Linked DNA regions of Mytilus edulis. The protein of the gene in region 2 purifies or fractionates together with the protein of the main gene of each other region. This does not show direct contact. Links are inferred from orthologs where the notes say so. Each region holds a gene or a part of one and is shown on either strand. Other genes may lie near its edges.

Region 1 (7,037 bases), on a different chromosome or scaffold from region 2:
TTTTGTGTATTTTCTGATAGTGGTATATCTTGAACATCCTCTGGATCTCTACATGTAGCATCACCAGATGGCACCACTTGAGCTGAATGACGACCTTTTAAACTGGTTAAACTCATAGTTCTCTGTGTAACCCATTCTGTCAGTGACTGTTCCTTAGGCCTTTGTTGTAGAATTTGTTGGACACAAGCTCTGAATATGGACGGAAGTTCAGATGATTGGGGTTCATTTAAAAGTGAATCTCTAAACAAAGCTAAAATGCTCCCACATTCTTCTGGTTTTACTTGATAAAATAATTCCTCCAGTTCTAAACGTTGTAATTGGGGAATCGTATACCCTTTTGGAGGAGTAGTAATCAACCAACTATAGTCTACACCAGTCTTTTTTCTTGTTTCTTCTTGTTCTTTGTCGATTCTGACTTTCTCCAGTTCCTTTATATTGTAATCAAGTTCTGACATTAATGAATCAGCAACAATTGACTTCTCATTTCTGGAAGGAGGTTTGCTCTGATCATTTGATACTAGAGATTTCCATACTGATTTTAAGGGCATCATCTTCAAATATGAAACGGAACTGAAAAATTGAATAGATCTATAAATTATTTTTATGAAATAAATATATTGACAATTTAGAATGAAAATAGATGCCATCCTATGACACCATACCAAGCTAACAGTACATTTTTTGTACATGAATCACATTTCCAAGTACTAAAGTACAAAGATGTAATTTTACCTATTCACCTTACATGTAAGCCAAAATGTACAGATTGATGCAATGCATTCATCACAGCTCATGAAAAATCAAACTTGAAATGCAAAAAATGTAGGTCTATTTTACACTTCTATATACTTATGTACATGTGCATGTTGAAATCTATATATTGGCAGATCTTTTTTTGTATATACGTATGTAAATAATGTTTTTATGATTTTTAGATTTCTATAGAACATTATAATCATGATTATAAGTATTTCTAATTGTTTTCTTTATGATATATATCTGACATATTGCTGGTGCTTACTTAATTATAGGATGTCTGTTAAACATGTTAAATGTGAATCTTGCTGTATGAATCTGTAGAGTCATTATTACTTATAGAAATATAAAATAAAGTTTATGGTTGTTTGTTGCATCTTAACAGTGTTGTAATGTTCTAATTGAGGTCTTCTTTACATTTAATTTAATAAACTCATTTTCTAACTGTTTATGATTATACAATTTAACTTTTCTTTAAAAAGAAATACCTGCAAGTTTAGCGTTATATTTTTCTCATTTAAAATGTTCACATTTGTTTTAGTTAGGGCCTTTTCTAGCCTACTACATGGATCAGACAGTGTTATAATTTTTGTCTGTGGTACTAAAATAACAGTCTGTCATGGGTACTACATGTACTTGTACAAATAACTTTTATTACCTTGAAGAAGTATATAATATATACTTCATTAAGCTAATCATAATATTTGAATTATCTCCCTTTAATTTTTGTCAAAAATGTACATGTACATGTATATAAGTGATTTTTTTTTACAATCCTGCCTTTTTTCTAAGTCACAATAGAACAATTCATGATTAGAAGAAAACAAGAAATTTTGAAGTGATAATCAAATTTGGACTCATCATTTGTAGAGAACAGATATTTCACTAATGAGGAGAAATATTTTACTCACAGGGCTAAAAAAATATGAAAATAACAATCAAAACCAAGGAGTAAACAAAGACTCACAAAATTAAAGGACATTTACATCAACAGTTAATAAGAAACAACAGTAACTCCACTCAAATCCGGGAGAGAAATTAGTGAAAAAGTGTTTTAAAATTGGTACAAATGTATAATATTTGTTTGATTTGGCTTGTTTAATAGTTGTGCGTTACGTTTTATGCAGTGCCAGTGGCGTAGCTTGCATGTATGCTCAGATGCTCTTGAAAGCATCCACATCATTTTGACTAAAAAAAATAAAATATATATATATATATAATTGCATGTGTTCGCAGCGGATACAGACTATGGTATACGAATGTAATAAGGGTGAGGATATAAAAATAGCTTCCAATCATTTGCGAAGCAGTATGCATGGTCTTTTCTTCAGGATCATTTAGTTAATGTAAACAAGATGGATAAATCGAAGAAGTGTTCGCGACTGTTTTCGTAAAAAGTCTATGTCGCAGCGCGTTGTCGGCTGCAACAAGCTAAGAGGGCCAGAATACGCATACCTGCGTCATGTTTGGTCTGAAATTGAGCTTAGGGGAGCAATGACATAGCAACGTTACTACAAATGTAGTTAACAAATACACCATCTTATCCTGATATTGTTTCCTGTAAGACCAAAGACGTCATGATAAAAACTCTATTTGTATTAGAGTATAATCATTCATGGGTTTATAAATACCCTTTTCCATCTAGGTACAAGTATTAATTATATTTTCAATAAAAGAACAGAGTTCCAATGAAAAGGTAGTCACTCCGGTTCTAATATTCCGCAGTTCCATATATAGAAGAAAGGAGTCTGTTTTTTTAGATGTCACTCAAATATAAGTTTTTGGTGTGAAACTTTTACATAAAATATTTGTGAATTGAGTGATGGTAGATAATCGAGAAAACAAATAAACTATTGGAAATATCATATACATGATATATTGGTTGGTATTTTGAAATTAAACAAGAAAACAACTAGTGTCAGATTGTAGTGGAGTACACATGCATGCATTCAGGAAAAATCTCCCGAATAATAAAATTTTCTGCAAAAAACAGTCCCAAAATTTTTTAAGCATGTTACACATACACATCATTTCAACCCTGGCTATAGTCCAAATAATTATGACGTCTTGAAAGGCTATTATAATTTTTTTTCTTTGACGCCTTAGTAAGGTGTCAAAGAAAAAAATTATAATAGCCTTTCAAGACGTCATAATTATTTGGACTACCCTGGCTACGCCACTGTGAGATGAATCCGGGTCCGTTCGCGCCCATTCATGTTCGCACCCACTCATGTTCGCCCCCTTTCACTTTCGCACCCTACATGTTCACACCCAAAGTCCGTTCGCATCCTACATGTTCACGCCCAATTTTAATTGGTTTTGGGTTTAATAACTTTGTAATCAAGTTTTGGCAAGTAGTATTCTTATAAGTATAATTGTTTTCGTTGTCTCAAAATAAAGTGAGACAGCATTTTTTATTGTGTTGAATAAATCTTAATTATGTTTTGGATATATAGTGTATTGTTAAAAAAAATAATATTCCTTTCTAAATAAAGTGGGATTCTGTCAACGTTTTATTTTGTGTTGAATAACTCTTAATCATGTTTTGGTTAGTGTATTGCTATATTTTATTGTTTCATTGTTTCAGATCAAAGGGACCAAGCTGTTAAAAACAATTATCTTTTGTGTTTTTCATTTAAAATCTTCAATCTTTTACTCATACCAAGCTATAAATACATTCAGTATTTACACGAAAACATTTAAAAACAACAATCATGATTTTCCAATAATTTTGGGCGCAAACGTGTAGAGTGCGAACGGACCTTGGGTGCCAACGTGCGAGGTGCGAACGTGTAGGGTGCGAAAGTATATTGGGCGCGAACGGACCTGATACCCTGTGAGATTATGTTGTGATTCGGGGTATAATTTTGAAGGAGATTGGTAAAAAATATACAGCACAAATATCCCTTTAATAAGTTGTTTTGAAAAAGTGTTTACATGTGAGTATATACATTACATGTACGGCATAGTAATTATATAATTTTTTAAGTGCCAGTATTTGGCATTTTCATCAGATTCATCATTCTTATAAACTTGTACGACACTTCACTCTTTTCTATCGACTCATCATGTCAGAAAATGTTCCTCCTTTTTCTTATAATATTTACCTAGATATGTACAAAGCCTTAATTTCGGTAAAGAATTAAATTCATGATTCCAAAATAATTCTCATCATTTTGACAGATGTTATAGAACTTATTTGTCTTACGGTTTTTGATTGGTCGAACAAATTTTTATAGCCAATCAAATTTAAGTTTACTTACGCATTCAAGGAAATAAATTTATTTGTCAACAATGGCACAACATGGTCATGGGCAACATCAGAGGCCCATTCAACAAGACTGGGCCAATAGAGAATACATTGAAGTTATAACTGGAAGCATAAAGAAAATATCCGACTTTTTAAACTCGTTTGGTAATACATTGTAGCCACCTATTCTTTTAACATGACAAAAAATATCAAGCACCTGTAGCTGTTGTACATACATTTGTAATTTATACATGACATACATGTTATAATGCGTATATTCCTGAATTCAAAGACAACTGATCCTTCTTCTTTAAGTTTCATAGCAGTCCTTCATGTATTGAAGATGAATCTCCTGGTGTCAAATATTTAAAAACTGAATGCTTCTTTTTGTAACTTCATTGGGGTGTAAAAGTGTTGACCAAGTAATTATATAAGTACATTTTGTATGAAGCGCAGATTCGCTTCATTCTAAAAATGTGCGCACGGTCAACGCTTTTACAACCCTATGAAGTTACAAAAAGAAGCATTCAATACTTATGATTACATTTTTTAGCATAATGATCATGAAAACACGAATTTTATAATTGTTTTATTTAATTCACCTGTGCACTTTATTGTGGGACCACGTGTTATCATGAATGATAGGTTTTAAATATTGAGTAATGCAATTGCTTAAGGAATAACATGTGATGTGCAGTTAGCCAATCAGAATAAAGTGTTATAATGAAACGTACATCTAATGTAATAGAAAACTTTCGAGTTCGATGCATTTCCGTCAAAAACTCTGGTTTTAGTGAACGTCATTTGTGCGTTTAGGGGCGTCGTCACTTCCGTTTCAATGTTGAGCGAGTGGTTGGAAAACTATAATTCTATATTGTACGAATTATTCAGCAAATTTAATTCTCAAAATTGACAATCAGCACTGCTGTCATTAGGGAATTGTCATTAAGTACCTACAGAACAACCATTATTTCCAGTTTATCCTGCACAACGAGGATCACTAAGACGCTTGATGAACGTAAATAGTGCAGGGATACAGGCGATCCCCTCTATCTGGTAAATGACGTCATAAAGGCGCACATAATTGACGAGTTTTTGCCGGTGATGGATGAACTCGAAAATGGTCTATTATAAAGTAATACAAGGTAACCAGAAAAAAAAGACAAACAAAATCAAAATAATGATAATAGTACATTTGATAACAATAATAGTTGAGGGTAGAAAATAGGGATTAAGGCAAATTCTGAGATCATTCTCTTGGTTCCATATACTGTACTGCAGAAAACTATTTGTTGTGGCAAATGATTCAAATCTATAGCTGTACATGTATGTGGGTAAAATGATTATTTATAACTGTCTTTTGATGTTTGCATTTGCTGAATATAGTGTGGATTGCTACATCTGGTTCTATTGTCTATTAAAAGGGGTCAAAAGGTTAAATTTGATGTAGGGAATGCAACAATTTCGTGTATACTGTACATCGGATATAATTAAGTACAATGTAGAAGAAAACAAGTTTGTATCTTAGGCGCCTAATTTCAAGTGGAAACCAATTTATGTCTGTCAACATTTTAGTAACTGACCTAGTGTTATGGATGCGGTATATGTTAAGCGGACTGCTCTTCTCTCATGTCTCTGAACTTTTTTAATCTTTATAATTTGATGTGGATACTAAATTGATGAGCAGTACTCTAACTTTGGGCCTAAAATAAAATATTGTTTGTTTCCCCAATCCCAACCGACCCTGCAAAAACAGTGCTACTCATAAAATTTTATTGTCAAATTTAAGTCAAATATTATTTTATTCATTTCCGATTTTCAGGCTTGCAGGATCGTCCAATGTTGTTCAAGCTTTTTGGAAAAAATAAAAAAAATTTCCCTACCTTCCGACCCATACCTGGCTTGGCAGGGTCGGGATCGGGGAAACAAACAATATATTAATTTAGGCCTTGGTCGAACAATTAAGAGCTTTAAATGCATGAGCTTAACTTCATTTAGCTGACACTATTTTAAGATTAAACTAAAAAGTATAACCATTATTTATATTTCAGACACATCATGTAGATCTAGACTGGCTACTTTGAATGAGAAGTTGACCCAGCTGGAAAGAAAAGTTGAATATATAGAAGCACGGGTAATTTAAAACTCTGTATTGAAAACAGCTCATCTTTTCTTTAAATCTTTCTTCATTTCTTTCACTAAGTGAAATTTTTGTTCTAAGTGAATCTCCAAATATTTCATAAAATAAGCAAAATTTAAATGCAATGAAAAATTACTTTCTTCCATCTTGTCCCAAATATTTTATAGCTGATCAACAGATATTTTTGGTATGTACATGTATAGTACATGATAAATAAAGTATAGCAATGATATTACCGGACTGGTGACCCCATAAAGTTAAGGTCATTTAAACTTAGACATTCTTAGCAATTACTGGTAAATGCAATTTAAAACAAATTGAGATGAGGAAAAAAAGGTACAATTCAATAAAGATGAATACATGTACATTTACATGCACATTCTTACCCAAAAAGGTTTATGGCATTGTATACTTGATGATATCAATAAAAAAGCAAATACATTGTGTAAAACAAAATACATACTGTGGATTTGTATATTAACATTGATACAATGTACCAAACTTCATGGATGGAGGAAAAGTAGTGATTTCTTGGTTTTTAAGCCAATTGCACAAACTCAGTCATACAAATTTTCATTGTATACCAGCCTCTTAGTCATGTTAGTCTGGGATTTATGTATTTCAATGTATTTCACACAAATAAAAAGGTATCAACATTAATCAAATATGCAACATTAACATGCTTGAGCAAAATTATTTTTATTGACAAAAGAGTTCAAAAATATTTTAAACTGATAATCTTACTTGAAAAAAAACCAGTCCTATAGTATAAAACAAACTGGTATCATTGTACAATGTACATGTAAATAGTTTTGAAACATGATATAATTTTAGTGTACAGAGGATGAAATTATAGATAACAATGATTCTATAGAAGAGACATAGAGAAGT
Region 2 (7,600 bases):
AACAATTCTATCATTTTGTTTAGTTTCTAATCACAAAATGGTGTTTTTTCCTGTATAATCCATACAAAATGTGTTATTTTGTCACGTCCTGTAGCTTGAGAAAATGCACGGTGACCTATCATTTTTATTATATTTTTCAACATATATCAATAGATACTACGTTTTGGCAAAGTATGAACAAATTCTATCATTTTTATTGTAGACTCCTATACCACCTTAAGCATCTTAAAAGTTAAACACAGTCATACTGGTACATACAATTATGAGATAAAAACACAAAATCAAAAACAAAATGGTTTGCTCATAAAAAGAACATTAAAAGCACATATAGATTAGTTATTTAGTAAAATTAGCACAAAGCAGCAGAAGCACTATATTGAAGATAACAAAAAAAGTTTGTCATGCTGAAAATAAAAATAATGAACAGATATTAACTGGTTTTGCAGGCAAAACATTGGCATGAGCTGCAATACAGACCAAGAACTTATCAAGTTCAGTGGCGGAACTTTTCATAAGGAGGGGGGTGCTGAATGACCTAAGGGGGCCCAAATCAGTCATGCTTCAGTGATTCCCTATATAATCAAACTAAATTTTTCTACGAAAGGGGGCCCCCTGATCCGCCTATGAAGTTCTAGAATTGAGTTAAAGATGATTGCTATCGAAGCTCATCTGGCAGCTCATTCCAAAGCTTAGCACCCGCATACCTTAAAGATTGTAGGCCATATGCAGAAGTTCTTACATGTGGTAGATCGGCTGTATTCTGGTATCTGAAAGAGTAAGTGTTTTCTTTCGAGTGTATTAAATTATGGAGATATGTACAGGACCATCTTTATTAACAATTTTGAAAACTTCAATAGCCTAAGATCGCATTCTTCTTATTTTTAAAGATGGTAATTTTGATTTGCAGAGTAGATCTTCATAACTTGCTGAATAGTCTTCAAAGATAAAACTTATTGCTCTCTCTTGAATTTTCTCTATCAATTTGTATTAACCTCCCCACAAACTGACAAACTAGTGGGCAGTAATTAAAATTGGACATTATGAAAGAATAATAAATTGGTAATTTTCCGAGTTTAGTCACTGAGGTGTTTATCTATTCTTTTTAATACATTTAATTGTTTCTTTGGATGCTTTTTTACATATTATAGAGACATAAAATTGAGAATGGAAATGGGGAATGTGTCAAAGAGACAACAACCCGACCAAAATAAAAAAACACAACAGCAGAAGGTCACCAACAGGTCTTCAATGTAGCGAGAAATTCCCGCACCCGGAGGCGTCCTTCAGCTGGCCCCTAAACAAATATATACTAGTTCAGTGATAATGAACGCCATACTTATTTCCAAATTGTACACAAGAAACTAAAATTTAAATAATACAAGACTAACAAAGGCCAGAGGCTCCTGACTTGGGACAGGCGCAAAAAATGCGGCGGGGTTAAACATGTTTGTGAGATCTCAACCCTCCCCCTATACCTCTAACCAGTGTAGAAAAGTAAAAGCATAACAATACGCACATTAAAATTCAGTTCAAGAGAAGTCCGAGTCTGATGTCAGAAGATGTAACCAAAGAAAATAAACAAAATGACAATAATACATAAATAACAACAGACTAGTAAACCTTTTCAACATCTCTCGACATCGACTAATGACACCTACAGTTTACAGGTAAAATGGATGGGTCGTCTCAAAGACAAAAATCATCATGATTATCATCACGTAACATATTGGATTGGCGGTTTTATACTGTTTTGACTATTATAGTTTAAGAATATATATCAACCAAATAAATAAATAAATAAATATATGTATGGTGGCCGGATGCGGCCATTTATTTCGCCTTTTCGCGTTTTCGTGAATTCTCCGTTCATTTTGCAAACGCGAAATTGGGAATTCGAGAAATCGAGAAATTGAGAAAATCGGGAAATCGGAAAATCGAGAAATAGGGAATCCAGAAATTGGAAATATATAAGATCGGGAAATCGAAAAATCGAGAAATCAAGAAGGCAAAAACGCCAAAACACGAAAGAGGAAACACGAAAACGCTAAAACGCGAAATGAATTCTCAATTTTGCGTTTTTGCTTTCTCTATTTCTCGATTTCCCGATTACTCAATTTCTTGATTTCCCTTTCTCGATTTCTGGATTTTCCCGAAAGGGGAAACGTCTACCACACATATGTCTCTGTCATATAATATTCTTATTTCGTATGTATTTGCACGACATTTCATGTTGAATTGATTAAACAAATATTCCAATCATTCAGAATCCTAACCCATTTTCTCTTCACTTTTGTGATGATGTGAGTCTTTCGCCAAATATTTGCCGCATGCCAATAACGATTTAATTTGTTGGTGTAAAAGCTTTCATGATGTTTTTCAAAAATGAAAAAGAATACTGGTCCGTCCGTATCACACTTGTGAACACGCTCAACTTTGTGTTTTTCCACCGATCTTCACCTCAGTCGATGTACATTTTCAATTTTTACATAATTACATATTGATTTTTTAGGTCAAAGGAAAAGATCACGTTTTTTTTTATTATTATTATTATCAACGACGGTCTTCTCCGCTTCAAGATATCTTGTTCGAGGTAAAGTTTTTCCTAGATGAATTTTGAAAAAAAATATAAAAGACCCCTCGTTTCAATGCTACAACATTTAAGCAGTGACTGGTGAATACAGAATTCAAGTGGAACACCAAATTGGTGAATTGAAATGATACAAAGTATTGAGTACATTATTGAGGCATACAAGGCCAAAACTAACAGACATGTGCCGCCCTTGTAAACCAACATAATCATTGTTTAATTTTAAAATATCAACTACAATAGAACATGATTTGTTCTTTTCGTTTTCCAAATTCAACCAGGACAGCTAGAAGCTAAATGTCTAAAAGATGAAATGTGACTTAAAGTCTATCATTTTCTTTATAACAAATTAAAACAAAATCATGTCATTTGGACTCTGTATGAAAGTTTTATCATTGTCAATGATTGAAAGCAATAAAATTAATAATGATCTCATTTATTTTTTTATTTTTGAGACTACCCTTCACATTTTACCTGTCGTAGTCGTTCTCAACTGTAGGTGTCGAGAGATGTTAAAAAGGTCTACTAGCAGTTAACTGACATGCCAGCTCCAGACTTCAATTAAACTGACTGAAAGATTATGATGTTCATTGAAATTTAGTTTAAAACCTATTATTACACCTAGAAGTTTAACGTTATCTTCACATTCTATTTCATTACCTTCTAATTCAAATTTAGGTTTTTGTCTTTAGTTTTTTTACCTACAGGTATTGCTTGACATTTTTCTGGATTAGCTTTCATTTTATTTTATTGTATATTGAGAACCAATTTATCAAAATTTTTGCTTTCCACATCTTCTGAAGTATTAGCAAGGAATTGTATATTTAAATATACAATTCCTTGGTATTAGTTAATTTATCTAAATCTTTATCTGCATATGAAAGGGGGTTGTCATCTGCATGATTATAGAGTTCACTTTTATGAATAAAATAAAGAAATGTCATTTAAAATTTGAAAAATAATGTAGGCCTTAATATCGAACCTTGTGGCACCTTTTAAACATTGTTTGTCAGTAGCTTAAATTAGTACCTCCTTTAACACACTGTTTTCTGTTAGTTAAATAGCTTTCCAAAAGTTTAAGAGAGTAGGTGGAAACACCATAGGATTTAATATTAGTAGGAGGAGGTCATGGTGTAGGCAGTCAAAAGCCTTGGACAAGTCTATAAATAGACGTATTTACACTTGTATGCAAATTTGTCCGCCATTGCGTAAAATCACACAGGTTCCCGTAAACTTTGACATCATAATTTAAAATTATTTGACGTCACAATTTAAAAGTGATTGTTGCTCAACGTCAAAAGGTGATTCGGAGTAGATTTAAGGTCATTCGCGGAGGCAAGATTCAGCTAAATACCAAAAGTGTAAAAACGTTTATTTATATAGCTGAGAGTCAGCACTACATATTTATTCTGATCTTAAACCTTTTCCAATATTCAATTTAAGGTCTTTAGTTTCCTTTATCAAGAGTGTATTTTTTATGTAGAGTCGGTATTTCTTGTTCTTCTTTTAATTTATCTGGTAAAACAGCCGATTCAAATGATTTATTCAGTAGTTTAGAAATTGGATTGGATAATTCAAATAAGATAATTTTAGTACTTTTGAAGAGATAGATACCATCTTTTCCTGTTGCCTTAAATTTTTGTTACTTTTTTTTCAACAAAACTCAGAAATTTACTGTATGCACACCAGTGGCGGATCCAGGGGGGGGGGTTCCGGGGGTGCGCACCCCCCCTTTATTTTTGCCGATCAATGCATTTGTATCGGGACATATGTTTTGCACCCCCCCCTTTGCCCTGGGTGCCCTGGGTTAACACCCCCCCTTTCGAAAATTCCTGCATCCGCCCCTGCACACATGGAAAACTATTTGTTTCTAAATTAGAATGAGTAAAGAAATAATTGAAGTATTAAGTTATGATCAAATTATTAATGTTATTTTTACAGCGCCATGTCATTTGCATGAGTACAAATACGGTAATCGTTGCACTTCCGAATATGGTAGGGAAATTAGTTTTTCAATGGGAAATAAACTGACTACCTATTGTTCAAATCTCAAAGAAGATCAGTCAATAGCCGCAGGTAACCAGTCAGTTGCTTTTGTTCGCAGCGCCCCCTATGGTCAAGTAAATCCGGAAGTTATCAAAAATGATAAAAAATGAAAACTGACATTTCCTTATTATGTGAAGTTTAAAGGTAATTAATCGGATGAACGACATAAGCAAAACAGGGACATGTAAAACATTATTTATATAGATTGTGCACTTGCAGTCAAGTCGACATTTTGCATTCAAAAAGTAGTATCAAATATCAATCCTGTCGAACTCTAGCTCTTCCTCTTTTATAGTTTATAGGAGGAAGAGCGAGATTTTTCTTTGAGGAACAATATAATTTCGGGTAGGCTCACATGTATCTGTCACTGAACGTAACCGTTAGTAGGTTAATGCAAGGTAGGAACCAGATCTATGAGATCCAGATTAATTCTCAGATAGAATTGTTATAATTTCTCAAGGGCAACAAGGTAGATAATTTAGTGAAAGCTTAGCTAATTGAGTTACCCCCTTTAAATAAAGTCATTACTTACTTACTTCCTTACTTATTGTTGATGTTCTATTTTGGACAGGTCAGGAATAACCATCAATTGGTGGATTATACCTCAATTGACATATAATCCACCAATTGACATTAATGGTATAGACCAATACACCTTATCGCTAATCCTTGCCGACCCAGCCGCAGCTTTTAGACGCATACAACAATCACTTTTCCATTGTGGCGTCAGATATTTTGTATTGTGACGTCAAAATTTTACGGGAACCTGTGTGATATCTAGTAATGGCGGACAAATAGCGATAAGGTGTATTGGTGTATAATTCTTTGTTCTTCAAAACAAATTATTCTACCCAAATGAAGCATTGTTTTCTTGAAATCATATTATGGTATGAAAACTTGTCAAACATTCCTAGTTTAGTATATATAGTGACATAACATATTGCATTTAATCAATAATTGTATTTTCAGTTTCTTCTATTGTTACATGTACAAATGTATCTTGTCAATTCTTGATTGGCATATTTACCTGTAAAGTGTAATCACCTGTCAATACACCTTATCGCTATCTCCGGCTGACCCAGCCGCTTGAACTTTTGACGCACACAACAATCACTTTTCCATTGTCATGATTGTGGTGTCATATATTTTGTATTGTCATGTCAACATTTTACGGGAACCTGTGTGATATCCAGTAATGGCGGACAAATAGCGATAAGGTGTATGGACATCATTTACTGTCTGCAGTCATCATGGTCATGTGATCATGAGTACAACTCCTCAGGTGAATGGAGCTCTTTGTTCAGTCAGTTAAATCACTTATTTGAGTAGCAAATTCAAAGTTTTGTCACAAATTGTGATTTTGTAGTTTTACCAAAATTTTAAACCCATTATGTTTAAAAAATATCTTTTCATTAGTAAAATTGAAAAAAGTGAATTTTTGCTTCTTTTAAGTATCAAGGTTTATGCCTTTGATGCTATCATTTAGCTGCAAATTCTATTTTAGTTGAAAAAATGCTATAATAATGGCTTTACATAATGAACTGATACTTTCTTAACAGATTTTTCCCAGCAGTGGGAGTATTTTTCCTGTAAAGTTCAAGGTTTCATCTTTCAGATTATGTCATAAAATTTTACTGTTCACCATAAAAATTTCACTGTTCGGGGTGTTGAAATTAGTGGGGGTTATTAAAATAATGATTCTTAAAGGAGTGATTTTTGGGAAGGAAATTGAGGTATGATACTTAAACAAGTGAGTTTTATGTCATTATCCTCGATTCAGTACAAGGTCATCACCTGAAATGACCTAGTCATCCTAGACAACATGGATGTTAGTTCTGATAAGTTTAGAAACATAATTAGTCCCTGGACCATTAGTATTCTATATTTAAAGCTACAGTAAAATTAAATCACTTCTTCTAGTGATTATTTTGTACTACTTAAATAGGTGATTATTAAAGAAAGACAACTCTTACTTTCAACCTTTATGGAAATAATGTTACTTGAATCAGTGATTTAGAAAATCACTCATTTAAGTAAGTCCCCTGACTTGTTAATACTTGAATTCAATTATCAAAAGTCAATCATGGTCAATACATGTAGTACAAATGTTTCAACAAAAGAATTGTTGTACACATGCATTCTCAAGAGATGCAGAAGGCTTTGACAAAACTTAATTTGAAGGACTCAATAAGGGTCATAAAATAGGTTGCAAGTTGCAAAATCATGCTCCTATCTCACACTAGTATTTTATTACAAAAAATTTGCATTATACGTCAATTGGTCCTTACCAATTATAATATACCTTAATTGGTGGATTATACGTCAATTGAGGTATAATCCACCAATTGGTGGTTATTCCTGACCTGTTGGACGCCCCTATTTTTGGGTCTCATGAATTAGCGACAAGGTTGCATTACAATATAAAGTATATCATGTTGGCACCCTAAAAAAAGCAGGACAGACTGGTGATCCCAAACTGTATATACCCTTTTGCTTCTATGAAACTACAATGACACAAATGTATAAATTTTATTAAAATTCATATTTTTGAATCTCAATACCTCAGGTCAATGTACATTAATTTTATATCAAATGGACTATAAAATTTACTTGATTTAACCAAGTATTCAAATCAACCAAGTTCTACCCATCAGTGGTAAAAATGCATTGATCATACAGAATTTTACTAAGACTTTTAAATTAGTTCTACTCATTAGAGATTTTAGCACAAGCGAGTTCAACACAACAGGATGCATCTGTAATTCACAGTCAATTGGGCAAATACAATGTACTCAAATATCATGAATACAAAACTGTACTTAAGATCAGTTATTACATTTCAAAGATAATGAGTATTATTTCAATGCTACATTAACATGTTTGTTTCTTTTGTTCATAGTCATACTACCAGCAGGAGATATTTGATAAGAGGAAAACACACAAACTGATGACATTTATTGATATTCC

Evidence for each region. The genes of interacting proteins can lie anywhere in the genome.
Region 1: the proteins of cytoplasmic FMR1-interacting protein 2-like (region 2) and protein BRICK1-like purify together in Drosophila melanogaster (affinity purification with western blotting; 4 studies listed by BioGRID). This does not show direct contact. The link is inferred for Mytilus edulis from reciprocal best matches to the Drosophila melanogaster genes Cyfip and HSPC300.

Annotation. Positions count from the first base shown.
Region 1 is NC_092344.1:56,321,684-56,328,720, reverse strand, and holds the start of protein BRICK1-like, read left to right. Parts: upstream 1-4,014; 5' UTR 4,015-4,050; coding exon 4,051-4,171; intron 4,172-6,057; coding exon 6,058-6,140; intron 6,141-7,037. Other genes in the region: protein RD3-like, read right to left, coding at 1-551.
Region 2 is NC_092351.1:9,973,769-9,981,368, reverse strand, and holds the start of cytoplasmic FMR1-interacting protein 2-like, read left to right. Parts: upstream 1-4,593; 5' UTR 4,594-4,777; intron 4,778-7,600. UniProt on the Drosophila melanogaster protein: Plays a role in guidance and morphology of central and peripheral axons and in synaptic morphology. Also required for formation of cell membrane protrusions and for bristle development.